Linked DNA regions of Canis lupus familiaris. The protein of the gene in region 1 interacts with the protein of each later gene in a biochemical or structural test. Links are inferred from orthologs where the notes say so. Each region holds a gene or a part of one and is shown in the gene's direction. Other genes may lie near its edges.

Evidence for each region.
Region 2: the proteins of LRRK1 (region 1) and CLVS1 form a complex in vitro, tested with the Homo sapiens proteins (2 studies listed by BioGRID and IntAct, with this or other methods). The link is inferred for Canis lupus familiaris from reciprocal best matches to the Homo sapiens genes LRRK1 and CLVS1.
Region 3: the proteins of LRRK1 (region 1) and GAK form a complex in vitro, tested with the Homo sapiens proteins (2 studies listed by BioGRID and IntAct, with this or other methods). The link is inferred for Canis lupus familiaris from reciprocal best matches to the Homo sapiens genes LRRK1 and GAK.
Region 4: the proteins of LRRK1 (region 1) and ABL1 form a complex in vitro, tested with the Homo sapiens proteins (2 studies listed by BioGRID and IntAct, with this or other methods). The link is inferred for Canis lupus familiaris from reciprocal best matches to the Homo sapiens genes LRRK1 and ABL1.
Region 5: the proteins of LRRK1 (region 1) and CHGB form a complex in vitro, tested with the Homo sapiens proteins (2 studies listed by BioGRID and IntAct, with this or other methods). The link is inferred for Canis lupus familiaris from reciprocal best matches to the Homo sapiens genes LRRK1 and CHGB.
Region 6: the proteins of LRRK1 (region 1) and BAG3 form a complex in vitro, tested with the Homo sapiens proteins (2 studies listed by BioGRID and IntAct, with this or other methods). The link is inferred for Canis lupus familiaris from reciprocal best matches to the Homo sapiens genes LRRK1 and BAG3.
Region 7: the proteins of LRRK1 (region 1) and FOXP1 form a complex in vitro, tested with the Homo sapiens proteins (2 studies listed by BioGRID and IntAct, with this or other methods). The link is inferred for Canis lupus familiaris from reciprocal best matches to the Homo sapiens genes LRRK1 and FOXP1.

The regions. Positions count from the first base shown.
Region 1 is NC_049224.1:40,487,969-40,491,944, reverse strand, and holds the start of LRRK1 (leucine-rich repeat serine/threonine-protein kinase 1), read left to right. Parts: upstream 1-1,176; 5' UTR 1,177-1,193; intron 1,194-3,976.
Region 2 is NC_049250.1:12,131,746-12,135,884, forward strand, and holds the start of CLVS1 (clavesin-1), read left to right. Parts: upstream 1-1,339; 5' UTR 1,340-1,518; intron 1,519-4,139.
Region 3 is NC_049224.1:92,182,215-92,186,355, forward strand, and holds the start of GAK (cyclin-G-associated kinase), read left to right. Parts: upstream 1-1,341; 5' UTR 1,342-1,403; coding exon 1,404-1,596; exon of another isoform or gene 1,597-1,600; intron 1,601-1,778; exon of another isoform or gene 1,779-2,026; intron 2,027-3,914; exon of another isoform or gene 3,915-3,929; coding exon of another isoform or gene 3,930-3,978; intron 3,979-4,141. UniProt on the Homo sapiens protein: Associates with cyclin G and CDK5. Seems to act as an auxilin homolog that is involved in the uncoating of clathrin-coated vesicles by Hsc70 in non-neuronal cells. Expression oscillates slightly during the cell cycle, peaking at G1.
Region 4 is NC_049230.1:53,214,157-53,217,656, reverse strand, and holds part of ABL1 (tyrosine-protein kinase ABL1), read left to right. Parts: intron 1-1,052; coding exon 1,053-1,142; intron 1,143-1,481; coding exon 1,482-1,646; intron 1,647-3,500. UniProt on the Homo sapiens protein: Non-receptor tyrosine-protein kinase that plays a role in many key processes linked to cell growth and survival such as cytoskeleton remodeling in response to extracellular stimuli, cell motility and adhesion, receptor endocytosis, autophagy, DNA damage response and apoptosis.
Region 5 is NC_049245.1:16,376,505-16,380,713, reverse strand, and holds the start of CHGB (secretogranin-1), read left to right. Parts: upstream 1-1,409; 5' UTR 1,410-1,607; coding exon 1,608-1,656; intron 1,657-4,209. UniProt on the Homo sapiens protein: Secretogranin-1 is a neuroendocrine secretory granule protein, which may be the precursor for other biologically active peptides.
Region 6 is NC_049249.1:30,090,939-30,095,014, forward strand, and holds the start of BAG3 (BAG family molecular chaperone regulator 3), read left to right. Parts: upstream 1-1,276; 5' UTR 1,277-1,663; coding exon 1,664-1,849; intron 1,850-4,076. UniProt on the Homo sapiens protein: Co-chaperone and adapter protein that connects different classes of molecular chaperones including heat shock proteins 70 (HSP70s), e.g. HSPA1A/HSP70 or HSPA8/HSC70, and small heat shock proteins (sHSPs), e.g. HSPB8.
Region 7 is NC_049241.1:21,134,844-21,138,343, forward strand, and holds part of FOXP1 (forkhead box protein P1), read left to right. Parts: intron 1-1,776; coding exon 1,777-1,978; intron 1,979-2,082; coding exon 2,083-2,162; intron 2,163-2,760; coding exon 2,761-2,862; intron 2,863-3,500. UniProt on the Homo sapiens protein: Transcriptional repressor. Can act with CTBP1 to synergistically repress transcription but CTPBP1 is not essential. Plays an important role in the specification and differentiation of lung epithelium.

The DNA.
Region 1 (3,976 bases):
AATCACATTGCTGCTTTTTGAATACTGGAATTAGGACCAAAATATTGAGGACAGGATTGCAAAACCGCACCCACCCTTTTGCAAAGGGCGTTCCGTGGCCGGCGAGCTAAAGGCGCAGCCTCTTGGGAGCAAAGCGAAGCTGCCCCGTGGTGCCCTTGCCAAGGGGCCACTGCTCAGAGTGTCCTTGAGGTCGTGCGGGGGCCCTGCGTCTGCCTGGCGTTTGTGAAATGGCAGTGAGGGTGGTGGCGAGTCTCTGACTTGCGCTAAAGTCCCAGGAGCCTTCCAGTCGCAGCGCAGGAGAGGTCTAGCCTAGGCTGCGGGTCCTGCCGGGCTGTGGAACCATCTGCTTCTTACTGGGCCGGCTTGTCTTCCTGTGGTTGGCACGCGGAGCCAGGTCTGATGCCTGCTGCACGTCCCTGCGTCTCTGTGATGCCGTCGGATAATGGTCTCCGTCGGGTGATGAACATACATATCGGGTCGAGACATAATAAATGGCCAACATTCCAGCATGTTTTATCTACTCCCCGCAGAATTTAAAATGATTCACCCAACAGTGACATCTTTCTATATTCAGCCCCAATTAAATTCTTGTGACGGAAGGGGCACCGTTTGCCAAACTCTAAAGCTAGAAAATACCTATTTCTATCCTGCCCTGCACAGAGGTGTAGGTCAGAGTACAGTCACTGCGAGGCCCTGCCTAACCCATACAAGTCCGAGGTTAGCCCTTGGGTTTTGCTCCGGAGCCCGGGGACGGTGGACGACGCTGCGTTGAGCAGAGAACCGACCAATCTTGCGGCTGCGCCCGCCCCGACAGGAGAAGGCAGGGCCCCCAGACCCGGCGGGGTCCGCGCGCTGCGAGGGCTCACGGGCCTCCGGGGCGCGGCGTCGGGGCACCTCCGCGTTCCGGCTGGGGAAACTGAGGCGCCCGCGTGCAGCTCGCCGGCAGCGCCGCGCCAGCCCCCCCTCGCCCGCGCTCGCTCCCCGCCAGCCCGCGGGCCGCAGGATTGAGGAAGTGCGTCTGGGCCCGGCCCGGCCCCCGCGCGCGCGGCCGGAGGCGCAGGGGGCGGAGGGCAGGGGACGGCCAGGCCTCGGTCCGCGCGCCCAGCCCCGCGTCCCCGGCGCCCCGGCCCCGGCCCCGGCCCCGGCCCACGCCCCGCCGCCCCGGCCCGCCCCCGCCGCCGCCGCCGCCGCAGGTAAGCGCCCGTCCGCCCGCGCCGCGCCGCGCCCCGCCCCGCCCGGGACCCCCGCAGCCCCCTCGGCGCCCGGACGGCCGCGTGCTCCGCCCAGGTGGCCCGGGGAGGGGGGCACCGAGGGCGCGGGGGACCCCAGGCCCCGGCCCCGGCCCCGGCCCCGGCCCCGCGGAGTGGGGGAGGCGGCGGGCCCCGGAGGGCCACCCCGAAACCCCGCGCGGGCCGCGGCCGGGAGAAGGCGCGAGAAGCACCAGTGAGGCCGAGCCGCGGCCGGGCGACCACGGTCTCCTCCGCCCCTGGAGAAGGCTCCTTGCTTCGGGCCGGCGCGGGCCGGGTGTGAGCCGGGTGTGAGCCGGGTGTGAGCGCGAGCGCGCAGCGTGCGGGCGAGTGTGCGTGCGTGTGTGCCGGGGAGCAGCGCCCGCACCTCCCGCCGGGCTGGGGCTGGGGCTGGGGCTGGGGCTGGGGCTGGGGCTGGGGCTGGCCGGGCTCCTGCGCTCCCGCCGCTGCGGGGGAATCCGCCGTCTCCGCCACCCTCCTCCGCAGACACGCGACAGGTCCGCGAAGGGGCCAAGAGGGGAGCCCGGTTAGGTGGGGGGCCGGGGGAGGTGGCGAGGGAGAGCGTGGGGACCTCTGGCCCGCTCAACCTGCCCCTGCCCGTTTGGAGGCCTGGAAGCTTTCTCCCGGAACACATCAGCAGGGGTCGGAGAGGCAGAGAAAACAGCAGCCTGTGGCGAAGGCTTCAGCAAGGCTCTCAGTGAATACACTCTTTCTAGAGGGTGCCGGCCCCTCAACTTGGTAACAAAGTACCCAGACATTAAAGGGACAACTAGAAGAGGTGCCATTTGGGACGACATTAACATGAAATGCTTTTTGTGATTTGACTCTAATTATCTTTGCTTCCGTCCCTGAAGAATTAAAAAAAAAAAATTAAAAACAAAAATCTCACATCTGATTTGTCCCTAAAGGAGGTTTTGGGGTCAGGGAATGAGCCCATAGTCAGCTCACTTGTTCGCCTTTCCTCTATCCCATACCCTCATCCCTTGAATTCTGTGAACCATCAGCAAGTTCTGTTGGGCTTACCTATGTGTCTGGCTGAGTCCAACCTTTCTTTCTCATTGTCTCCACCTTAGTCCAAGGTACCAGCATTTGTTTCCTGCGTGATTACAATCCTCCCCTCTCCAATTCTTTATGTGACAGCCAGAGAGTCTGTGCGTGTGTTTTTTTTTAATAGGTAAATCAGAATGTGTCAATCCTCTGCTTAGAACCCTGCCATAATTTCTCCTTGTGATTGGCATGAAACCCAGGACACCTCCTTCCCCTCAGTTGATATGGAGTCTGGCATCATCAACCACCTGGCCATTGCTCATGCCACCCTCTACCCCACCCCACCCCACCAGCCACCATGGTCCAGCTGGCTCTTCAGCATATGGCCTCTACATGCTGACCCCTGACTCCTCATACTGCCAGCCACCCCCTGTAAGCCCAGCCTCTTTCTCACATCCGCCCCCCCCCCACCCTTGCTGTCTTTTGCAGTCTCCACTGGTATTATGGTCCCTCTTCATCTATTTGCTCTCTTCTTTAATTGCCTGGCACTCTCCTGGAGCTCCAGGGGTCAGAGACCATTCCTAGGCACCAGCATGGCTCACTGCTGCGTCTTCACGCCCAGAACTGTCTGAGAGGTGCCCAGTACACCCTGGCATACAGATTGAATGGCGAATGGACAGTCTTAACTTGTTTGTGGTTTCAGACTCATGAAGGGCTTCTGTTCCCAGACCTTTGGGTGTTCATCTAGGACTGAGATCTACACATTTCTCTGGTCCGCAGCCCCTTGATATTTTGAAGTCCATGAATCCATTACACACATTCTGTAGGCAAGCCGGTATGTGGTCAGAGGAGGCTAGTAGTGCCAAAGGATTGTCAAGGACTATGGGCCAACCATCTCTACCATGCTTTCACTAAAAAGAATTACTGGATTATCTGAGCTGACGTGCTCATTTGCAAGTGTCTTCTAGCTCTTTGGTACTGACAATCCTTTCCAAGCCTCCTGAAAAGACAAGTAAGCAGGTCCAGGGTCTCCTCTATTTCTCCTCAGTCAGAAATTTTGTGGCAAGCACTTACTTAACTGTGCCTTCCCACCAGCTTTAAGTTTCATGAACACATGGAGTTCACTCCTCATAGAAAGGGCCCAATAAAAACATTTGCGGGATGAATGTCAGCTTCCCCTTTTCTCTTTTTGATTAAGCATTCAGTTTTATTCATTACTGCACGTATAAGGAGCAATGAAAAATTGGTGAGGTTTTAAAAAGTATTAAAATTATTACAGAAAACCTCTTGAAGTCCTCTTAAGGCTGTATGCACCACAATGAAAGGAAGACATGTAACTTACAACCATGATTTGTTGCATTGGTCTGAGCCCAAAAGAAGCAGGAAGAAGCAAAGATCCGTTTGAGGGCAAAGATTGAGCAAAAGTTGAGTTACCTCATTTTAAACCTTCTACCTTAGAGTCTAAGCCAACATACAAATTACAGTTGAAAAACTGTGCCAGTGGTAAAATCCTCCATCGGTAAAGAGATTTTCAAAAGGAAACTGAAAATGAAAAGGGGAACAAAATGTGCTGGCCGAGGGTTGGCCTAAAATATTTTAAAGATTTAAAAAAAAAAAAAAAACTTAAAAGCACTCTATGGTAAGACACTTCTGTTTTCAGAAGGCAAGTCTACTAGCATTTGGATTTTTTGAGGTGGTACTGGGTAGATGTGGTAGCTGATTTTAAGACGTTTGAAAGCAGA
Region 2 (4,139 bases), on another chromosome or scaffold:
TTTCTTTTTTTATTAACTATGGAAACTTTAAATAAATACAAGGAAGAAAATAAAATTGTCCAACTTGATAGAAAACAAATTTACCTATAGTTTCATCATGCTACCCTATGAATGTACCAACTTGATATTTGGGGCAAGAGGAGATTAATGTATTTGGTATCTTACTTTTCTTTACCATTTTCTGAGCATTTTTCTTTGTTATTAACAGTTTTCAAAAATATGTTTTTAATAGCTGCAAATACTATAGGCTATATATAATTTTAATGTTTTTATTATTTTTGACAAACTTTATGATTATAAATTAATGTACATAAATCTTTATTTGCATACTTGATTATATCCTCAGCAGAAGATGCATAAAGTGGAATCACTTAGTCTATATGCATGTGTATTTTATGATACTTGATGTATGTTTCAAAATAGACCTATACAAAGATTACATTTTCTTACTATTATTGTAGTATTGATACTATTATAACATTCTGAGACATTAAGTAGACTTAAAACATCCACCAAAACTGCACCTTGGTGCCATTTTAAATTATGTATATATCTATTTATTGGTGAGGTTGATTTTTTAAAATATATTTATTATGCATCCACCTTTCCTTAGTGGGAATTCTTTGTAACTTGCTCTTTCTCCTGTTTCCTCTTAAGCCATTAGTGTTTTTCTTTTGATATATGAGATATTTTCCATATGAAAGATATAGTTGTTGAAATTTTTCCAAATAGTCATTTATATTTATCCTTTCAATATTTTTGCACTTGAAAGTATTTTTATGCATTCGATCTTATTGATCTTTGGGTGCGGTGGTTGCTTCTGTTCCTCTTAAAAAAGCTTAAAAAAGCTCCTCTATCAGTAAAATATTTCATATGTTCTTCTAGTTTGTTTTTAAAAATAATTTTACTTTTTTATTTAGTCCTTTAATCTCTGCATATTTAATTTTGGTGCAATGAGGCTTAATTTGAGACTTTTCCAAATTGTTCATTTTCTCACGACCTTTTGTTAATAAAATAATCCTTGCTTTCCCCCCTAGGTCTGTGATACTTTCTTTTTCATTTGTTAAATTTACACACACACACACACACACACACACGCACGCACACTCACACGCACACGGGTCTGTTTCAGGGGCTGCATTGATCTGTTTGAAAGATTCTGGTTTTAAGATTGGTGGTAGTTGGTGGGGCTGAGGAGTGACGGTTCGGGTACTCTTTGCCCCGAATGTTACAAAATCACACTAATTCTTGGTATTGTCTTGATGGAACGGGAAGAGCAGCGGTGAGGAGGCCTTTAGGACCCAGGGGAAAGCCAGGCTGGGTATAGAAGGACCGAGTCTCCGGCGCACACGCCTCCTACCAAAATCACAGCCCCGTGGAGCCGGGGCTCTCATTCACAGCTTTCTAGAGAAATCTGAGCCCGAACCTGCCAGAATAGGGGATCTCACCCACTCAGCTCAGCAACGAGGACACCTGCAGAAACACATTCCTAAAGCAAGGCTGAGCGGCTGTGTGAAGGTATTTGTTGCCTCTTTTCTACCTTCTGTATTTGCAGCGCCTCCCCGCCTTTCCCCCCAGCTCGTGCGATGCCATGGCTGCGGCGATTCAGCACTCGGGTGCGCGGACAGCTCCCATCCGCAATCCCTCCGCTCTCCATCCCTCCGCACCCCACTTTCCACGCCTCCGCGGTCCATCCTCCTGCTCCCGGCGCCCGCTCAGCCTGCGCTCCCTCACACCATCAGCACCCCCATCTCTCCACCATCACCGTCATGCTCTCCACCATCACCAGCGCCGTGACTACAGTCCACACAACTGTGTCTTGTCACTTAGACAAAGCCCGAGGTCCGCAGGGTTGAGCAAAAGAACCCAAGTTTTCAGGCACAGGAAGGAAAGTTCAGGTGGACGACACCCTTGAAAACAAAGAGACGCCTGCTTGAGAGAAAGGGAAAGTGAAGCCAGGACACGGAGAGACCCAGGGCAGGGGGACAGATGGGGCACTTGCCAGACACCAGCAGTTAGCCAGCTGCCTTTCAGCAGATTAGGGGCTGTGTAGTTCAGGAAATTAACATGGCCTGGGGTGTAGCGTTATTCCGGTAAAAGAGATATGTAAGCTCAATCCATGTTTCTGGTTTTCCAATGGAGAATCACCAGGAAGCAGGGTGGGGGTGACTGATGACTCATATTCACCCACACATGCCAATTTTCCTTCCTAAGCGTTTATTACAGAAACTCTGGAATTAAGTTTTTTACTGAAATGTTTTGTAAAATGAAGAACCCAAAGATTAACTCTGTAGCCAGAGTAAAAATTAAAATATTGGTGATTGGTGACCTAACAAATGTGGCTCTCACTGGAAAGTGCTATTTGCTCAAATGTCTCTTCCTGTCTACTTATTTCAATTTTCCCAATCTTAAACCTCTCCTTGAAGGAGAGAGGATAGACCCCTTGCCCAAAAGGCCAAAGTAGTAATGATATTCAGAGCAGATGGCCTGTCTTTGTTCATCACTAGTCAAGGACTGACTCGGATTTGGAAAGCGAGATTTTTGTGTGCTTTCTCAGTAATCAGGCGATAACACCATTTTCCCATAATAGTAAAGGGTAATAGAGTGCAAAAATTGAAAAAGCATTTTATATAACTGTGTTCTGCGAGGCTCTGTTTTAGAGTGCCATCATTTTCTATCTTAGCTGAAGGGAAGTTGGAACATCTTTCAAATATCTTGAAGGTCCAAACCCAAGTCATAGCACCTCTTTAATTTATCCAGGATCATCTATTTTATAAGAGCTGACAAACATCAGAAAATAAGTACCTGAGCTTGTCATAAATAAAAATATTTCAATGAGTAACCATTTAATTAATCATTACTGAACAGCAAAGTGTTGGGTGGGTGGTGTGGGTTGCTTTTTTTTTTTCATAAAATTAACATCTTAATTAAAAATGAGATGAATCACATTTTCATAGAAGAATGGTGTCAGGTCACATGTAACAAGTTTAAACCAGAGCACAGAAAAGCCTCATTTAAAATTCACTCTTGTACATTTATTCTACTTCCTTAAAAAGAAAAAGAGTCAGTAAAGCAAGTTTTGTCTAAACTGGCTCACTAATTTTGTCAGAAATAAAAAAACAGTCATGAACAAGTAGCTCCTGAAAAAAGTTTTGAAGAAAAATTTACACCAAATACTCTTCTGGAATGAGTGATAGTTGCATTTTTTCAAAAGTTACTTACTGCTATTAATTACATAAACATTGGCATAATTCGATTTGCCTCTAAAATTCACTCACTTTTGAACTCAAACTGAGAAAACTAGTGAAAGTATCTAGTGAAATGGTTTTTAGAGAAGAAGAAAATTTGCTCATATGTACCATCCTTAGGTTGGTAATGTTCACAAGACCCCTCAAGTCCCAAAGAAACAAGATTCTTAATATTCCCTTATCTGCTTGCAAATAGTGGTTCATCCCAGATAATTTTTTAAAGTGTACATGTTGCCAGTTCTAGCTGCTTCAAACCAGAAACCCAGGCCAGGAATCCACTGTCTCCAATGCTGCCGTCTTCCTATGCTAAATACAATTTTCTGAGGTTGGGGAAAATTTCAAAACAATGCTGCTTTGGTGAGATTTACAGGCATCTGTCTCAGAAGTGATGACTTTCTTTGATGAAATATTATGATAGGCTTATTAATTTTTATAGAGTGCTACTATCCTGGCTTCTTCTTCTATTGTCTTTTCTATTAAGGGCTATTTTACTTTTTCCAAATTTTCATTAACATGACTTTCGCATTTTTATAATGGATTTAAAGGTGAATCAAAAACATATTTTCCATCAGAGTGGTATTATACACTTTTGTAAACATGTTCCCAGAGGGGCATATTCCTTCAGAATCATGGAGTGTAAAACTGGTAAATTTTTATCTCCCAAAAGGAAGAATCAGGAACTCTTCAGAACTAGTGGTGTCTGCTCACTTTTGCAAGCTTTACCAAAGAGCACCTTATTAACCCTGCAAAGTCTATTCGTGACTTTACACACTTCCTCAAAGCAGAGTCATCCTTAGTTAATGGATTCAGACTTGGATTTTCTCTTCTTTCCCATTATATGGTGACTGAGACAGGAGGTAACACAGCAAAATGAGTATATAAAATATGAAG
Region 3 (4,141 bases), about 52 Mb from region 1:
GGCCTGGTTCCTGTGCCCTGACCCTGCACACGGGGACACACCTGTGCCTCCAGGACTGGTTCCCGCGCCCTGACCCTGCACACGGGGACACACTGTGCCAGCCCGGCCTGGTTCCTGCGCCCTGACCCTGCACATGGGGACACACCTGTGCCTCCAGGACTGGTTCCCGCGCCCTGACCCTGCACACGGGGACACACCGGCTGCACCCCGTCCCCGTCCCCGTCCCCGGGGCTGGAACGCCGCGGCTCCCCCGCCCCCCGGCCCGGGCCGAGAGGCGGCCCCGGGGAGCGCGTGTTCTCAGCGGGGAACGTCTTACCCGAGGGCTGCTGATCGCGCCACCCGGCGTCGGGGCTCTGGATCCGCCCCTCCGGCGGCCGCAGCCCGCGCTGTGCTCGGTTTCTCCGGCTCCCGGGACACGCGAGCCCTCACGCTGCCCCGCACACCGAGCCGGGGGCGTGGCGCACGGCCGCGGAGCAGCCGCACGGGGAGCGTCCGCGGGCACGGCCGCCTGGGGGACAGCGGGCGCCGACCCGGAGCCAGGCCTCTCTCCGCCTGCCCGCTCCCTGCCGCGGCCGCCCGGAGCGCGACGACCGGAAGCCGTCCCCGGAGCCGCGGCGCCGAGCAGGCGCAGTCGGCGGCCCCGGCGCCGCGCAGGCGCACCCTCCCGGCGCAGGCGCGCTGGGCGGCCCCGGCTCCGCGCTCGAGCACCCTCCCGGCGCACGCGCACCGGCCCGGCGCGGCGGAAGTAAGGCGCCGGCGCTCTTCCGGGCTGCGCCGCGCCCCCGCGGGCCTACGTCAGGGCGTCGGGGCGGAAGATGGTGCGGCTCCGGGCCGGCGGTTGCTGAGCGCGCCGGGACGCAGCTGGCCCCGGGCTCCCCGCTCGGGCGCCCGCCGCGGGCCGCAGCCATGTCGCTGCTGCAGTCTGCGCTGGACTTCCTGGCGGGCCCGGGCTCCCTGGGCGGCGCCGCCGGCCGCGACCAGAGCGACTTCGTGGGGCAGACGGTGGAGCTGGGCGAGCTGCGGCTGCGGGTGCGGCGGGTCCTGGCGGAGGGTGAGGCGCGGGCGGGGGGGCGGGGCGGGGCGGGGGGGTCCCGCGCTCCCGGGAGGTGGGCGGGGGGCGCAGGGCCGGGCCCGCGGCCTCCCCCGCCCGCCGCCCGCCGCCCGCCGCCCAGTGCGCGTCCGCGGCGGCGTCCGGGAGCCCCGGGGTGACGCCGGCCCCGCTGCCCCGCGCCCCCGCTCCTGGCGCCGCCGCCGGCCCCCTCGGGATTCCCTTGCAAGGTGCGGGGGCGCCCGCCTGACCAGCCCGGGCCTCGGGCTCCTGCCGCGTGTGGGGCCGCGGGCCGGCGAGCGTCCCGGCGGCCGCGCCCGGAGGCCCGCGGGGTGTCCGGCTGCAGCGTTCCCATATGCGTGTTTCCCCCAAGGCCGGGGTGAAGAGCGCAGGTTTGGGTGCGATCCGGTACGCAGAGGCGGGGGCCGCTGACGCCCGGATGCTGTCGGCCGCCCCGGGGCGCTGCAGCCGTCGCCGCCGTCGGGGCCTGTGCTCCGACAACACCGAACACTTGTGCCGGGTTTTTAATACGAGATTCACGGTGGACAGTAGGTGGATTTTGCCCTCCGGAACCTGGAGTTAGACGCACGCCCCAACGCCCCAGCGACGGGAGGGCGGCGCAGTCCGGGCGCCGGGGCGGGCCGGGCCGCGGGGAGGATGCCCGCCTCGGGCAGGAGGGCAGGAGGGCAGGAGGACGGGTGGGCCGTGTGGAGCGGAGCGGGAGGCTCACCAGGAAGAGGAACGAGGAAATGGGACCGGCCCACACGGTGGTGCAAAAGAACGCACTCCCTTTGCGCTCTGGGCAGGCCGGGAGATAAAAATACCTGCGGCGCGATTAGGGCCGGAGGTTTCCTCTTTACAGACGTGGCCGGAGCCTCGTGGCCTTTCAGGCTGGTGCGGCCTCTTACTGAACTGGAACGGTCGGAAACCCACAGGAAGCCTTTCAGGGAAAGCCGCAGCCCCGCAAGCGAGGCCGTCGGAGCGCGTGCTGTCTCCTGTAACGGCGGGGAAGGCTCCGAACCCAAAACCCTCGGGAAAAGACGTTGACGACTTCAGAATTCTTCGGGTTTCAGAAAGATCAAGAGTGCAACACCCTGTGTATCCCGGGATATTCCTACAGGAGTTGGGAAGGGGTTTAATAACCAGATAAATCATACGTCCCCAATTCAGTGAGCGAGTGTCTTTACTGTAGGGTAATTAAGCCTTTAAAGAGCCCCACCCCCCTCAGTTCATGTCACGTGTTGCCCCCAGATGAGTTTATGGTGGACCAGATTCTGCTTTCAGATGGTTTAGGGGAAAAAGCATCATTTTTCATCGGTAGCATGAAATGGGTTGTGGGATCCTGATAGCATCCCAATCCTTTGAAAATTGGTTTTAAGCTTTCATTTAAAAGGAAAACCAAGTTTTTTGGAAGTAATTCCAATGTCAGAGATGCTCAGTCTAAGCAGATCCTAGGATACGTTCTTAATGTTTCCTAGTTCTGGATTTTGTGCGCTCTTGCTTGCTTCCTACCGTCCAGATGACAGGTGATCGCTCTGCCAAGACGAGGGTTTTGCCACGTGACAGGAGTCCACCTCACTAGTGATTGTTTGACTCTGGCCACCCTGCTAGCAGTGTGGATGAGGTGGCGTGTGGGCAGCTCTTCAGAAGGTGGAACAAGTCCTCAGGGCTGTCCTGTGATTGTCGGGTAACGAGTTGTGTGTGTGCTGGAACACTGTGGGCCATGTGTGGTGTCAGTGGCTTCTGATGAACCTAATGTGGGTCCTTGGTGTTCTCTCTGGGGCCAGGGATGGCAGACTGCACACTAACTCCGGGCCAGCTGCTGCCTTGCCCTCCACCCCTCTGCCTCCTGGTCTCTGCTTTTAGAGAGACTGCCTGTCTTGTCGTGCTGGCCTTGGAGAGGGCACAGGGGCCATTTGGTGTTGACGGGCAGTCGCAGAGTTGTGCGGTAGGACTCTGGGCTGGAGGTTTCAGGAACCACTGGGATTGGTGTGAAGGAACAGGATCATAGGTTGTCAGGACATCCTCTATAGGGATACACAGTGTAGTACGTTTTAATTTTTGTTTATTTATTTATTTATTTTTGATTTTTTATTTATTTACGATAGTCACAGAGAGAGAGAGAGAGAGAGAGAGGCAGAGACATAGGCAGAGGGAGAAGCAGGCTCCATGCACCAGGAGCCCGACTTGGGACTCGATCCCGGGGCTCCAGGATCGCGCCCTGAGCCAAAGGCAGGCGCTAAACCGCTGCGCCACCCAGGGATCCCCAGTGTAGTACATTTTTTAAAGTTGATTTAAAAAGACAGTGGGGCAGTTGTCGCTCACTGATAGGGTAGCATATAGCACACAGTTCTTTTCACACAGGAAGTGGGCCTGAGCCCTCAGCCCTGTGGTTTGGTGGTCTTGTTCTGAGTATCCTTCCTCTGGACTACTGTGACTGCTCTCACCCAGGGAGGATCTTTTCTCCAGACACCCCAGAGCACAGAATACCAAGGTCTTTGCTGGGGGGGGCTGCATCGTGGACAGCTGGTTCTGGTATTCACAGCGGTGGTTCAGTCTTGCGTCTAATTGCCCTCCCTTAGCTCTCCTAACCGCGTCCTCTACGTTTGCACCTTGGTCACCTGAACATCAGCCTCTTACCCATCATGCCTGACGCCTAGTACAAAATAGCGATGATAACCAGCACAACATTGGTGGAGTTCTGACTGTTTGGCAGGCGCAGCCCCTGGTGCTTCCCGTGGTCTGTGATCCTGACAGTGGCTGACGGAAGGGCCATCAATAGCTGGCCAGACATGCGAGCCAGTGAGCGATATGCTGGGGGTATCTTGTGTCACCCACATGGTGGTGCAGGTCCCCCAGTAGAGTGTGTCCTGAGGATGTCATGGTGAAAGAAGCAAGTGGCAGTGCACCTGTTGGTGGAGCTTCCACAAGTGAGTGTTGCCCGGGAGCCAGGATGGGAGCTGAGCACCAAGGCTGTACCACTCCTTCTTGGTCTGTGCCTCAGTTGGCAGCAGTATCAGGCACGCGTAACTTCTCCAGCTTCTGTGTGTCAGTATGCAGGTGCTTGGAGCAGGACATCATGGGGGAGGCCAC
Region 4 (3,500 bases), on another chromosome or scaffold:
CAGTTGTTTAACCATCTGACTCTTGATCTCCACTCAGGTCTTGATCTCCAGGACATGAGTTCAAGTGTCGTATTGGGATCCACACTGGGCATGGAGCCTATTTTATTTTTTTTTAATTAATTAATTTATTTTTAAGATTTTATTTATTTATTCATGAGAGAGACAGAGACACAGGCAGAGGGAGAAGCAGGCCCCCCACAGAGAGCCTGATGTGGGACTCGATCCTGGGTCTCCAGGATCTGGCCCTGGGCTGAAGGCGGCGCTAAACGGCTGAGCCACCCGGGCTGCCCTTTTTTTTTTTTTTTAAAGGTTTTATTTATTTATTCATGAGAGACACAGGCAGAGGGAGAAGCAGGCCCCCCGCAGGGAGCCCAACACAGGATTCGATCCTGTGTCTCCAGTATCACGCCCTGGGCTGAAGGCGGCGCTAAACCTCTGAGCCACCCGAGCTGCCTCCACAAGGAGCCTACTTAAAAAAAAAAATCCTCACGTTAATATTGTTTTAATTAACATTTCTTTATTGATGAGGATTTCAGACTTTGATAACCCGGAAGTAAGGGTAAAATAGAAGGCAAGCCATTTGACCAGAGTGGGGCTGGGGAAAAGATTTATAAATGTAGTTCTTGCTGTCACGTCTCTGGGGCTTTACAATCCATATTCCTGCCAATATCTAAAGCCTTTGTGAATTCTTAATGTCTGTAATAGGACACAGTGACATTTGTCACTTTAACTTGTCACAGCAAAAGATGGTTAGCAGGATTGGGGTACTTTTTTTTTTTTTTTAAGATTTGAGAGAGAGGATGCACACAAGTGGGGGGTGGAGGAGGGACAGAGAGTAGAGGGAGAAGCAGGCTCCCCTCTGAGCAGGGAGCCCAATGTGGGGCTGGATCCCAGGAACCTGGGGTCATAACCTGAGCCGAAGGCAGACAGTTAACCGACTAAGCCACCCACCCACCCCTCGGGTGCCTCTTTCATTACCAGACTTTCCTTGCTAGCCACCCCACTTATTAGCAGGGCCTCATGCATGGTGTGACTGGGTCTCATCCATCCAGGTTGGCAGTGGAATCCCTCTGACCGGCCCTCCTTTGCTGAAATCCACCAAGCCTTTGAAACAATGTTCCAGGAATCCAGCATATCAGATGGTAAAGTGCCCATTATTCCTGGGATTGCCTGCAGTAGAGTGAGAGGTTGGGATAGAAGGGAGAGCCGGGAAGGACTCCAGCCCTGGCCCTTTAGTTCACTTCCTGCTAGAAGAACCCAGGCCAGTGAGTCACCTGAGCAGAGGTGTTGAATGTGGAGTTGTCTTGCAGCCATGCACAATTCTAAAAAATACTGAGTGTGGTTTTCTCGGCCTGTTTCTCTTTTCTGTGACTGTGCACAGATGACCACTCTTATCTGAGGGGGAAAAAAAAGAATGCCAGCATATTAAACTGATACCTTTACTGATGGCTGTTGATTTTTGGTTTTGGTTTTGTTCTTAGAAGTGGAAAAGGAACTGGGGAAAAAAGGTGTACGAGGGGTTGCAAGTACTTTGCTGCAGGCCCCAGAGCTACCCACCAAGACAAGAACCTCCAGGAGAGCTGCAGAACATAAAGACCCCACTGATGTGCCTGAGACGCCCCACACCAAGGGCCCAGGAGAGACTGGTATGTCCCCCAGCCCCACCAGATACCCAAAGGAGGCTACACCCTCAGGCCAGTGTAAGCAGATGGGGAAGCGGTGAGTGCACCTGCACAGAAGGGCAGGCAAACTCCTTGTTAGTAATCCAGCTTTGAAAAAAGGAAGGTTCTCTCCCCACCACATCTGGCCTCTCCTTCTGGGAATCATCAGGAACCATTGGCTTCAGCGGTTAGTTTGGTCAGGTAGGCACAGGTGCTTATGAAACCGACTGAGAACAAACCCACCTTTTCATGTATTATTCACAACATTTGTGGCTGCTCTTGCAGGGCAGATAGAACAATAATAAATATTGAACCAAACGAAGAGCAGCTTGTTGTGAAAGCACTGATATGAAAAACTCACTGGAACTCAACGGAGCCAGGAAACGCCCGTGGCACAGAGCTGGTGTCCACATGTGGTCTCTGAAAGAAGAATCTCTTGGCCACTGTTCCCTAGATGAGTTGGGGAGGTGGGAGTGGTGCATGGGATTCCAAGGTGCTAGGAGGGGTAATCCCCGAAAACACTGACCTAGCTCCTCCTGTGTGCCATGGTCTCTTTGTTAGGCTGCTCTGAGGTATTGTTATTCTCTCCCCAGGACCCCGGAAATCTGGGTTCATGGAGGCTCCTCGGGGATGCTCTGATAGACCACAGATGAGTGGGTGGGAAGCCAGAATAATGAGATGTTTAGCCATCGCAGGATTACCAATTTTTTTTTTGTGTGTGCACCCATAATAGAAAAAAGTCACATGTGCAGACTATGTATACATACGTACTATTGCACAGACATGTGTATTATAAAACATACCAAAAATGTATACCTAGAAGATTTACATTAAGAAGTAAATCCAAATTATAGGGCTTCCTTTTATAGCCCCCTGGATCGTCTTGCTCACTCACTTTGTGGAGTCCATGGCATATAGTCTCCAGAAGCTCAGACCTTTGTCCTTCTGTTCGTTGTCATGATTTCAGGTAGTTGAGCAGTGGGGATGGGGAGAGGCCCCTGTGGGAACCTCAGGCTGATTAAAAGCCCAGTGATAAGCAATCATGTTCATTTATGCCCGTCAGTATTCATTTTGATACGTAATCTCATGGTGAGCCCAGAGTGTCAATTAGCTGTTCAGCGCTGAAATAGAGCCGTGCATAATTCATTAGAATTTCGCGTTCTTCAACTTTTTCTCCTGGATTAAAGTTTTGGAGGTCCTCAGCTTCCCCTGAGTCAGGTGGCCTGCATGCTGTCTGATGTTCTGATAGATGCCCCATTGTACCTCTGCTCCGGGTGTAGACATGCCCTAGGCTGCTCTGGGTGCTGATAGAAAACTACTCTCCTCACAGCTGCCCTCTGAGGGAGAAGTCTATCATTCACTAAGCCGGGAGCTTGGCAACACCAGAAAGATTTCTTAGGAGCTATTATTCATACATAAAGAATGCCCATTTAAAAATTTGTAAAGGTCACTCTTTCTTGTTTGCCAAGCATAATAGCCTATTGTCACTGTGGTGCACAACCCCTTCCCTTTGGACCTTACCTCCTAGGAATCTCAATTGGCAGGCCCGAAAGGCACAGGGCCTGACCCTTTGCTCAGCCCTGTGGTGGTTTTTACACTCCAGATAGTGGTATTGGAGGGCTCTGTGCTGTCAAGGAAGCCTCAGTACAGGGATGAGGGGCTGGGTTGCCCAGGCTTTCTGTGCTGCTGTCCTGTACCTTTCCTAGAAGTATTTTTTTTTTTAATTTTTTATTTATTTATGATAGTCACACAGAGAGAGAGAGAGAGGCAGAGACACAGGCAGAGGGAGAAGCAGGCTCCATGCACCAGGAGCCCGACGTGGGATTCGATCCCAGGTCT
Region 5 (4,209 bases), on another chromosome or scaffold:
AAATTAATATTGATACAATATTTATCATGCAATCTACAGATCTTATTCAAATTCTACCAGTTGTCCCACTAATATCCTTTTCAGGACTATTCTTTTAAATATTCTGTGGCCATGGTCTCAGGGAAATCATTCCCAGCTTTTCAAGATGTAGTGCATGCATAAAGAATTTGAGCGTCATTGATTTTCAGGAAAAAAGACACTGAAACTTCCGTTAGCTGTGCATGCAGACATCTGCCTTCCCTAAAAAAAAAAAAAAACCTCAAATGAAGGTTCACTCTATTGCCCAAAGCCTGTGTTATCAGAGAAGATTCTGGATTGTTTCATTTGGTGTTTCATTTGCCTGCTTCTTTTTCCTGATTCCTCATTAGGCCGAAAGAACTCATTTAAAAAATATCCTGGAAGATGTTTTCACCTTCTTCTCGCACATAATAATGAAATACCTTCCTATTTTGTTTTTAAAGCGAGAAAGGATGCACAGTGCTTATGGGATGTACTAGACTAGAGTCTACAAGCAGTAGACTCTAGTATTTCATTACCCACTCCTGTCCCTAGGCCTCTGTTATAAAGGAGTAATTAAAGGCCAAAGGGTGACTACCTAAATAAATGTCCATCAGAAAGGGGACTAGTTAAATAAATTCTAGCTAATACAGTCAATGTAATATAATGCAGCCATTCAAAAAAAAAAAGATAAAGCTGTGTATGTTTCAAAATAAATTAATGCTAAACAACAGAAAGTGGTTAAGTAGTATAGACTCTGCAGAGGATAATTAGGGAACCTGGGGAAATAGAGGTAGAAGGGAGACATTTATATTAAACCCTATGTTATGTGTTCAGAGGGAGAGAAAGACAGAGAATCACAAATAGTACATAGGTAGGTAGGTAGGTAGGTAGACACAGAATAATGGGTAGGTAGACAGATTTAAAACTAAAAATGTGAAGGAACAGCAGGCTTCATATTTTCCAGCTGCATCTTTTGCTTTTAAAGCCCTTATTTCTTTTGCCACGTCCCCCCACCATGTAGTCCTCTTCAGTTAGCAGGAGTCTTATCCTCCGCTGGGCAGTAAAGACACAAAACAGACTTAGCCCTAGACACATTCTCAACAAAACCGCATACCATACACAACCTCAAACACACGTTTTCAGGTTTGGAGGTGGGATGGACCAAGATGACCAAGCTTGGGCAATCTAAGAGGGACCTGCGTCTCTCCTCTCGCGTCACATTTGCACTCTCTCCTCACCCTTTCATTCCTACGCCCGCCTTACTCCCCAGCCCCGCTCCAGACCCCAAGCACCCAGGACACTGAACTGGCGTAAATTTCCTTCTACTTGCGCCGAGGCCCGCGGGGGGGTGGGGGTGGGGGTGGGGGTCGTGACGTCAGTGCTGAGCGAGGGGGCGCCGCCTCCTGGGTGGGTTCCCACCCCTCCTGGCCCTGCGGGCCCGGCTCGGCTTGCCCTTTAAAAGAGCGGGTCCTGCGCCAACCGCGCCACACCGCGGGGACCTGGACACACAGCTGCTTTCCCGGAGCATCTTTATCTTGCCTTCTGCCCGCATCTCACTCACAGGTCCAGCCGCCATCCTCTTCGTGCAGATTCGGGCAAGCGGAGCCATGCAGCCTGCAGTGTTTCTCTGCCTCCTGGGAGCTGCAGTGGTGGCCGGTGAGTGGGCTCCGCGGGCTGATCAGCACCGCGGACAGCGCTTGCCGCGTTCTCTCGGCCGCTGGGGACCGTAGGCTTGTAGATAGATACTGGGGGAGAGGAAGGGTTGGGTGGAAGATTTCTCCTTCTTGCTTGAGATGATTAATTCCCGAAACTCTCTGCTTCATCGTCTGACTTGGAAAAAGCCAGAGGGCTTCCTAGCCCAACCAGAAGAGTCTCAGTTTTTTTCATATTTGAGTTTTTCTGTAGATAGAAACGTGCCTGTGCCTCCAAGGAAACCCCACATTTTGTGCTTACTTGTAAAATGTCACGCTCTCTGCCTTCTCTACCTGTCTAAAGAGATGCTCCCAAAACCTTAATATGTAACTGGAATTAAGTATCTGTTCGGTTTTTTTAAAGCCAGGGAACTACGGAGACACAGGAGTACTTGTATTAGTTGGCACCTGGGATATAATTTCCCTTATTATTATTATTTAAACATGAGGAGATGAAAGTAAGTCTCGTATGTATTTAAGATATCATATCTTTTTCTTAACATATTCATCTATGTGTGTGTGTTCATGTATATGTATGTACAAGTTTAATGTCATTTTGGGGGGTATTTTATAGTTCCATTTCTGAGAAGAGGTAATCTCATACCCAAATCCATCCATTTTTAAGTTATTAATGGAAATTGCAGTAGATATTTTGACTTTTGTACTTCAAGAAAATAACAAGGATAAAATAACCACAAAGATATCCTTGAAGAAGTAAAAAAAAATCTTTTTAGTCAATTGGGAGAAAGAAATTTTAAGTAGTAGATATTTGACAGTATCTCTTTATGTATGGAAGATTGTAGGACTAATCTTTCAAACTACTCTGAATCTTGAAGAAATTATCTCTGGAGATTTGAAAAAATGTGTGTGTGTGTGTGTGTGTGTGTGTGTGCATTGAAGTAAAATCACTAGACCACTGAGAAGTATGTATGCTATCACCAGATTAAACTGGAGATTTTCGGTGGCTGTTTTAATAACCTCATAGGATATTGTTCTTATCTGAGATTGAGACTCCTAACTGGAACTGAAGTATTGCCATCCATGAATATGAAGCTTTCATTGACAGCAATTGCTAGATTCCCAAATGTAAAGACACAAAATGAAAGCCAGTGGTAATTTATTTTCTTGCAAGCCACATACATTCAGAAATTTCTAACATTCTTGTAACTTATAAATTGCCTATAAGTGTTCTTAAAGAAAACTAAATGAATATTTAGAGTCCTTTCCGGTCAAAAATATTTTCAGAAAGAAATCACTTAAAATGCTACAGCTATACATTGTGCTTTAGACTGCAAGACAGTGTCATTTGTGAGACTTACTTAATATAGTGGCAGAACATTTAGAGATCCTTTATGCAAGAGAATATTTTAAGAAGGGCTCATATTTTAATATCGGCTAAAATAGATATTATATTCTTTAAAAAACTATTGAACTGTAATTCACACACCATAAAACTTTTAAAGTGCATAATTTAGATTCACAGATTCTGTAATCACTATCAAATGTCAGAAGTTTTTCATTAGCCCAGAAAGAAACACCTATGCCCATTAGCAGTCATTCCCCATTTCTGTCTTCACAAATGCCTGGAAATGAAACATGGTAGCCGTCAAGCAAAGTTTATTATCTAGCAAAATCACAAGACTGAAGAAAACCTCAGGAAACCATCTGGCTCATTTCCTACCCTGAAGAGCTTCTGAAGGGAAATCCATACCTTTCTATAATAGCTACTGGGCACTCTAAAAATTTAATATGAGTGAAGTAGTTATGTGACACCCATATTGTACAGGGTAAAGTAGTTTCTGCCCAGATGAGGTTGCTTAATTTTTTAAATTATAGCTATATTTTTATTCTGGAATCAAACCTTAGTTTGATAGTCTTGTGGTATATAATACTTCAGAAATTATTTTCAGGTTTATCATACAATATAATTTGAAGATTTTCTACCGCCTGACTATTTCACTTTTAGAATCCTTGGGTTTTCTTTGGTGCCTCCTGAATCTTACTTTATACAAAAATAAGTTAAACTACTTTTGGGGATTTAATGTGTCTTTGGCTAGTACTTTGCTGTCACAGATTCAGTTGGAAGAAATACAGAACTTAAATGTCTCACTGAGATGCATAATGCACTTTTATAAGGAGACCTTAGTTCCTTTCCATCAAAAACAGGTCTGAAAAAATCTCAGTCAGAGAAACAGGACTGTCCTGCAATAACAAACATGAGCTATAAATTATTTAGAGCGATAAAGAAAAATATTTCTGTCTGCCCAAATCTGATGACTATTAATACTTTGGCAATGTTAGTAGTTAATAAAAACACTGATTTCACATTTAAAAAAATTTGTTCAATTATTTTTTAAGGATTTTATTTATTTATTCATGAGAGATACACAGAGAGAGGCAGAGACAGGCAGAGGGAGAAGCAGGCCTTTCACAGGGAGCGCAATGCAGGACTCGATCCCCAAACGGGGGATCAGGGCCTGAACCAAAGGCAGACTCTCAACCGCTGAGCCACCTAGGT
Region 6 (4,076 bases), on another chromosome or scaffold:
ATTTCTGGGGAAGGGAATGAATCTGCCTGCCTAAGAATCTGAAATGGAACCTCCCCACAAATTCTCCCTCGGGGGCCACAGGCTCTTTCACGGAATTGCTTGGTTTAGGTTACAAGTACAACCACCCCTTGAATCAACCAAACAACAATTTTTCACGACTGGCTTTGGTCCCTACCTTCCAAGTGAAGGTCAAGATTTAAGATAGCAAGAACGAACCTGTACCCTAAAAAAGATCCAAACCCCCAAAAAAGGTGATTTGTCTTTAAAGTTGTCCAGTGCAATGAGATAGTTTGTATATCTGAGATGCGAGGTTGAGGGTCATAAAACCAGGGCTGACGCAATCTTTTTTTAGGCTCCGAAAAGAAGGCAGGTGAGTTTCTATTTGCACTTGCATTTTCTCCCTGGCTTTGTTATGGTGTCACATCAACATTCCGGGAGCTCCTTAGGCCTTTGGGGGGGGGAAAAGTGATTAAAACATACTTGAGGGACGCCAGTGTCCCCGAGGATCTTGTTCATAAGGGAGCAAAGGGGGGGAGTGGCGAGGCTTTAGGTGAAAAGCAACGACTTTAAAGGCTCGCGATGACTTCGTTTTTATAGGAAGGAGCGGCAGCAGGCACCCCGCGCCCGAGTCCCAGGCCAGGGAACACCCACTGCGCTCCAAGCCGAGGGAGGGAGTCTGAAAACCGAAACCCGCCCCGCGCACACCGACGACGCCCCGCAGGCGGCCAGGCCCGCCGGCCAGTCGCGGCCCCGCGCGGGAGGGGGGAGGGGAGAGGAGGGCGGGGAGGAGGGCGGGGAGGGGGAGGGGGAGGAGAGGGAGGGGAGAAGAGGGAGGGGAGGGGAAGAGGAGGAGGGAGGGGAGAAGAGAGAGGGGAGAAGAGGGAGGGGAGAAGAGGGAGGGGAGGGGAAGAGGAGGAGGGAGGGGAGAAGAGAGAGGGGAGGGAAGAGGAGGAGGGAGGGGAGAAGAGGGAAGGGAGGGGGAGGAGGAGGAGGGCGGGGAGGGGGAGGAGAGGGCGGGGAGGGGGAGGGGGAGGAGAGGGAGGGGGAAAAGAGGGAGGGGAGGGGGGAGGTGGGAGGGGAGGGGGGAGGAGGGAGGGGGGAAGAGGGAGGGGAGGGGGAGGAGGAGGAGGGAGGGGAGAAGAGGGAGGGGAGAAGAGGGAGGGGAGGGGGAGGAGGAGGAGGGAGGGGAGGGGGAGGAGGAGGAGGGAGGAGGGGCAGGGCGCCCCCCGAGGCCCCGCCCCGGCCCGCCCCGCCCCGCCCCGCCCCGCCCCGATTATAGCCGATGACTCAGGGCGGAGCTCCGCATCCAACCCGCTCGCCGCCAACTTCTCTGGATGGGACCAGAAGTTTCTAGCCGGCCAGTTGCTACCTCCCTTTATCTCCTTCCCGGTTGGCAGCGAGGAGGCTATTTCCAGACACTTCCACCCCTCTCGGGCCACGTCACCCCCTCCTTTAATTCATAAAGGTGCCCGGCGCCGGCTTCCCGGACACGTCGGCGGCGCGCACCGCTCTCGACCCCGCAGCGGCCGGCGAGCGCCTCGGCGTCTAGAGGCCCGGCCCCCCGCGACCCGGCCCCCGCGACCCGGCCCCCGCGACCCGGACCCCGCGACCCGGCCCCGGCCCCCGCGACCCGGACCCGACCCCGGCCCGGCCCCGGCCCGGCATGAGCGCTGCCGCCCACTCGCCCGTGGTGCAGATGGCGTCCGGCAACGGCGCCGGCGACCGCGACCCGCTGCCGCCCGGCTGGGAGATCAAGATCGACCCGCAGACCGGCTGGCCCTTCTTCGTGGACCACAACAGCCGCACCACGACGTGGAACGACCCGCGCGTGCCCCCCGAGGGCCCCAAGGTGAGCGGCGGCCCCCGACGGCGGGGTGCGGGCCCGGGCGCACCTGCCGGCCTGCTGCGCCCCGGCGAGCCCCGGCGAGCCCCGGCGAGCCCCGGCGGGGGGGACGCGGCCGAGCTCCTCCCAGGGCCGCCTCCGCTTCCCGGGGGCTCCGAGGGGCCGAGGGCGGCCCGCTGAGCTCCGGAGGCCCGGCCGCGGGGACTGAGGCCCCGGTTCCGCCGGGGCGGGGGTGGGGGCCTCGCAGGAGCTCTGCCTCCTGAAGCCCCTCTACTCGGTCGAGGGGCATCTTGACTTCAGTCGTCTCGGGCACAGAGTGACTCAGGGAGCCGATGTGACTACATCCCCCCCCCTCCCTTTTTTTGCATCTGCAGTTAAAATTCTATTACTCTTTGAAACGCTTTTCAATGAGAATAAATTCTGCTCCGATTTGTTGAAAACAAGATGTTCTTCTCCCAGGCAGTTTCTAAACTAAAAGATGGGAGACTGTCTCGTGGTTGAGTGGTTGACCATTGCCTTAGGACGTTGCCTCCCACTGGCAGGAGACAGAATGTTTTTTTGTTTGTTTTTGTTTTTGTTTTTTTTCCTAGTGGCATACATTCCCTTCCTTGTTATGGTATTAAAATACGTAAGATTTGTGGCTGATACACAAATAACTAATTCAGAAGTAATTCTGTGAATGCAGCAGACGTGTGCCTCACTTACGGATTTGCAAAGTTATGTGCTGAACCCTTAAGAGCATGAAAATTTGGAAATAGGAATTTGGAATCCGTCTGTTAACTTAAAAGGTTACAACCAACTGTGCTGCTCTTCTAATTTTCTATGAATTTGAACTTTTTCGGAATAAAAGGCGAGGCAAATAGACGCTTAAGGGAAGGGTAATGTTATGCTATCTGGGCAGAAGTTTTAAAAAGCCATGAAGAGTTAGTCATTTGTTTCGAAGATTTAAAAATTCACAAAATTAGAGGTGGTTTATAAATCATCATTTTACAAGAGATGCTTGTATCTTCCATTTTATTTCTATGCATTTTTAAGTTAAAAATATTGATGAAAGTTTGGTGCCCAACAGTAAGATGTTTGTTGAACATTCGGCAACTTACATTTATGAGAAATTAATTGTATGTTTTTATCTGAAAATTAGTCCAAGAGTATGTAAGTAGCCAGGATGGGCATAATTATATATACTTTTTTTTGTGTATCTGCTCAGCCCATTATTGGGTGAAATACTGCAGTCTGCATGGATGTAAATCTTACGTGTGGTGTAAAACTATCATTTTGAGGTCTCCTTCCTATGGAGACAGGGACAGTCAGAATCTGCCAGCACCCTTTGTTGTGAGTGAAGGTCAAGTTTGAACATAGCCACTGTAAGCGCAGCCTAAACCCAGATTGCCAACACTTTGTTTTTAGAATAAGACTCACCCAGCAAGTTGAGATCTTTGTGTACCCATCCAGTGGATTGGTTAGGCTGTGGTTTCATAAACCTTTTTAAAGGGTCAGAAAAAACCAGGTTGAGTTACTATGATTCTCGACAAATAGAGAAAACAGCCACTAAATCAGAAATCTGACACCAGAAAAGTGGACTTGAAAATCAAGTTAGAAATTTTGAAGTTGAAAGGCCCATGAAGATCTTTTATCTCAACCTCTTTCTTTTACCGAGAAAGAAACCGAGACAGACAGTTAAGTGTGTTTCCAGAGGTCACTCAGCCGGTACTCTAGCAAAAAGAACTGCACCAGAAGGTCCTGATAAGAGGCGGGGTATCTACTCAGAAGAAGGTAGAGGCGTCTTGAATTTTTGTGAAACTGCGAAGTGTGCAGGCTGGGATGTGCCCTCCCAGCCACCAAGAACTGGTTGGTTGCTGTCTGTGCTGTGATTACTTAGATGGTGATGACTGGATGTGGCAACTCAAGAAATGAGTTCTCTACCAGTTTAACTACTTGAGGTTTATCAGCAGGGCGCAAAACTCAAGGAGAGAACACACGTCCAGTTCATTGGCTCTTTGGGCTTCATTGCTTTCATACCTGTGCTCTGATACATGCAGAACCTCTGGGTGACTGATTCAGTTTCACTTGTGTGAATTACAACCTTCCTCCAGACCAAATAGGAAGGAAAATCCTTCAGTATTGTTTTATATTAGAAATTGGCTTCCTACTGTGTAATGAAAAAGGGCCCTGGAATGAAACAAAGGGCAGTTTTGGAGGAGCTGAGCTAAGTGGACCCTCTGAACATCCTTGT
Region 7 (3,500 bases), on another chromosome or scaffold:
CACATGGGGGCTGGGGGAAAGGCCTGGCATTAACTGAGTCAGCATTTCACCAGGGGAGTTAAAAAGGAAAGCACAACTACAGGCTTTCAATCCACCATTCCCTTTGCAGGACCATGTTTACATTTTCTCCATTAATATTTACCTAACAATATTTGATCTTTCTTTTCTTCGAATTCCTTGTTTTTATTTTATTATTATTTTTAATGGAACTACCCTAAACATATGAGAGGCATTCTCATGGCCTTTTTCATTACTAGAGTATGAGTAGAGTTGAATCTTCTCAACAAACTGGAACTTTTAATGTCCTCTTTATGATCCCAGAAGAGTCCCATTTTGAATACTTTCCATAAGTAACGCCTTATCCATAGGGCTACTGCAATAGTGAAATACTTACTTTGTTAAATGATCGAAAATCAGGTTTGAGAACATGTTACCAAATAAACCTACTTGCCTAGGTTTACTTGGCCGGCTATAAGTATCTGAGATAACCAATTCTGTGTAAATTGTAATAATATGTTGTAAATGGCCAAGTTCTGTAGTATAGCCAGACTTAGTATTTCTGGAAGGACAAATTCAGGGTAAGGGGAACAGGCCCATTTTTTCAGTATTAATAAGAGAAGCACTTCAAGGTGAAGGTTTAATGGAAGGAAACCTTACTCCTTCATTTTCCTTCATATGATTTTAAATAAATACTACTCATTTCCTCTCTTAATTCCATTATATTACTGAGCATTTGAAACTCGAAGAAAAAAATAATTTTTACAGTTCCCAATGTGTTTCATATGTCATTTTTTAAAATAGAGTCCAGTCCTCTATTTGGTTTAATGAAGATTATACATTAAGCTTTCAAAGATTAGTCTTTGCCAACTGATATAACCCCATGACGTCTTATTGGATCAGTGCCACTCTTTTTTAAGATTTATTTATTTGAGAGAGAGAGTGGGGGGGGGGGCAGGGCTCAGAGAGAGACTCTTTTTTAAGATTTATTTATTTGAGAGGGGGGGGGGGTGGGCAGGGCTCAGAGAGAGACTCCAGCAGACTCCACGCTGAGCACAGAGCGCAGTGCAGGGCTGGATGCTCAACCAACTGAGCCACCCAGGTGCCCCAGTGCCACTGATTTTAGTAGCAGTCATAGGCCGAGTATCCCTGTTGGCTCCCATTGGTGAAGTTTCTTTATGGGGTTAAGTAGCCTAGCCCTGTGCTGGCCAGCGTGGCAGTCACTGACTACATGTGGCTATTTAAACAAAAGTTTAACTCTGATAAAAAGTAAAAACAGTTCCGTACTGGCTAGCACAATTGACAAAGTGCTGTTGGAGAGCTCAGGTCTGGAGCAATGTATCCCAACTGATGGCTTCTACAGTGTTGGTATTCACTGGTGCTACCAGGACTCTGTCACCTTCCTTGAGGTTTGGCAAGCACAGTAGGCAGCCCAGGAGGGTTTGAAGTCATGACTCAAGAAATGTTTTGATCCAAATCTTGTCAAGCTTCACTGCGCCAGGTCACCCCTTTCTGCATTCTCCACTCATTTTCCACTGTCTTTGGAAGACTCCTGTGTCCCCAACAGGTCAGGAGAACATGGCCAGAGAGATTTTGAACTAACTACTATGTAAACTGTTTTTACATGAGAACTCATCTCCTATTTCAGTCAATTATAAGCATCTACTTACAGAAGTAAAACTAGCCGGGTGTCCCCTGCATTATTCCTGCTGGATTTCAGATGCCTGCTTACTCACTGTTTTTCTGAAGCTCTTCTAAGAATTCTTCTTTTCCTCACAGCTGAATCTGGTATCAAGTGTCACACTCTCCAAGTCTGCATCTGAGGCTTCTCCACAGAGCTTACCTCATACTCCAACGACCCCAACCGCCCCCATCACTCCCGTCACCCAAGGCCCCTCCGTCATCACCACCACCAGCATGCATACGGTGGGACCCATCCGCAGGCGGTACTCAGACAAATACAACGTGCCCATTTCTTCAGGTAGATACTCCCATTTTTGCCTTATGCAGAACTGTAATAGGCAATTCTTGTAGACCAGCCTCTTTTTAAAAATGATAATTAATAGGACAATGATTCTTATTTAGCAGATATTGCGCAGAACCAAGAATTTTATAAGAACGCAGAAGTTAGACCACCATTTACATATGCATCTTTAATTAGGCAGGTAAGTAAATAACACAGTATGTGAAATTATATCAAAAGGTATACGTGTACATGGATATATTGATGAAGTAGATTTAAAACCGTTTAGTATGCAAGCATGCTAAAACCTTTTCTATAAGGTTTTTTAAAACTGCAATATATAACATAATTGCTTTTGATTAAGTATTACAATACGATGTGATTATTAGGAAATTCATTTCACACAACAGTGAAAATGAGCCTGTTTAAAGATGGCAAGTCAATTATCACAAGCTACAGTAATCTCTGATCCCTAGAATTAATCTGAGCTCTAAATAATTACTGAGCTTTAATCAGCTAGTGAAATGTTTTGCATTTCTCTTTGATTCTGCTTTATGAATGACTAATAAATTAATATTTCTGTACGGAAACAGAAATAAAAACTCAAAACAATTAGATAATTCCATTTTGAATTTTGCTATTGAACTGTTAAATACAACCATTAATCTTAGATCATTTCGTGAAACCTTTCTTGGGCTCTAGCTCTGAATCATGCTTATTTTATACTTTCAAGAAACTATAATGACAATTCTGCTGATTTGGTCATAAATTATCTTCTTTTGTTACTTTTGCTTCTATAGGCCATTCTCGAATCTCCAGAAAAGCAGCTAACACTAAATGAAATCTATAACTGGTTCACACGAATGTTTGCTTACTTTCGACGCAATGCTGCCACGTGGAAGGTAAGCTTTCTCACAGGCCTGTTTAAAGCTTGGGTCTTGCCATTTAAGAGTTTGTTGTTGATAAAATGGAGGTATTGTAAGTTCAATGTGTGTTGTTTCTATACACTCAAGGAGTCAAATTTATGGGAGTATTTTATTAAGAAAATAGTACTATTGGGGTTAAAATGCTGGGATAGAAGACTCCCATTACATTGACATCAGATTTTGGATAGACCAGCCAGTGAAATCATTTCTGTCCAGTTAAAATACGTAGGGAAAAGGAACGCATGATACTGTCATCCCAATATGAAAGTTATCCTCTTATTTACACAGACCTCATGCTTATCGGTTGTTAGCCACCACCAGTATTTGCTGAGATGCATGGCTAACTTTTTTTAACTGGAGAAATAATCAGACAAACTGGACATAACTTTCATTAGTTGGATTAAAAAAATAAATAAATAAAAAACCTCCTTACCATAATTAGTAAAGGAAGTTGTGTGGTCTCAGGACTAGCCCTGTATTTGGGAGTTAGCACAGGAAAGCACAATATATTATTAAGTTTTTGGTTTTATTTTGGGTTTTTGTTTTTGGTTTTTTATGTTGCACTGTCTGTCAGAGATTCATAGATACTCTGGAAAAGAAAATTATCTAACTTC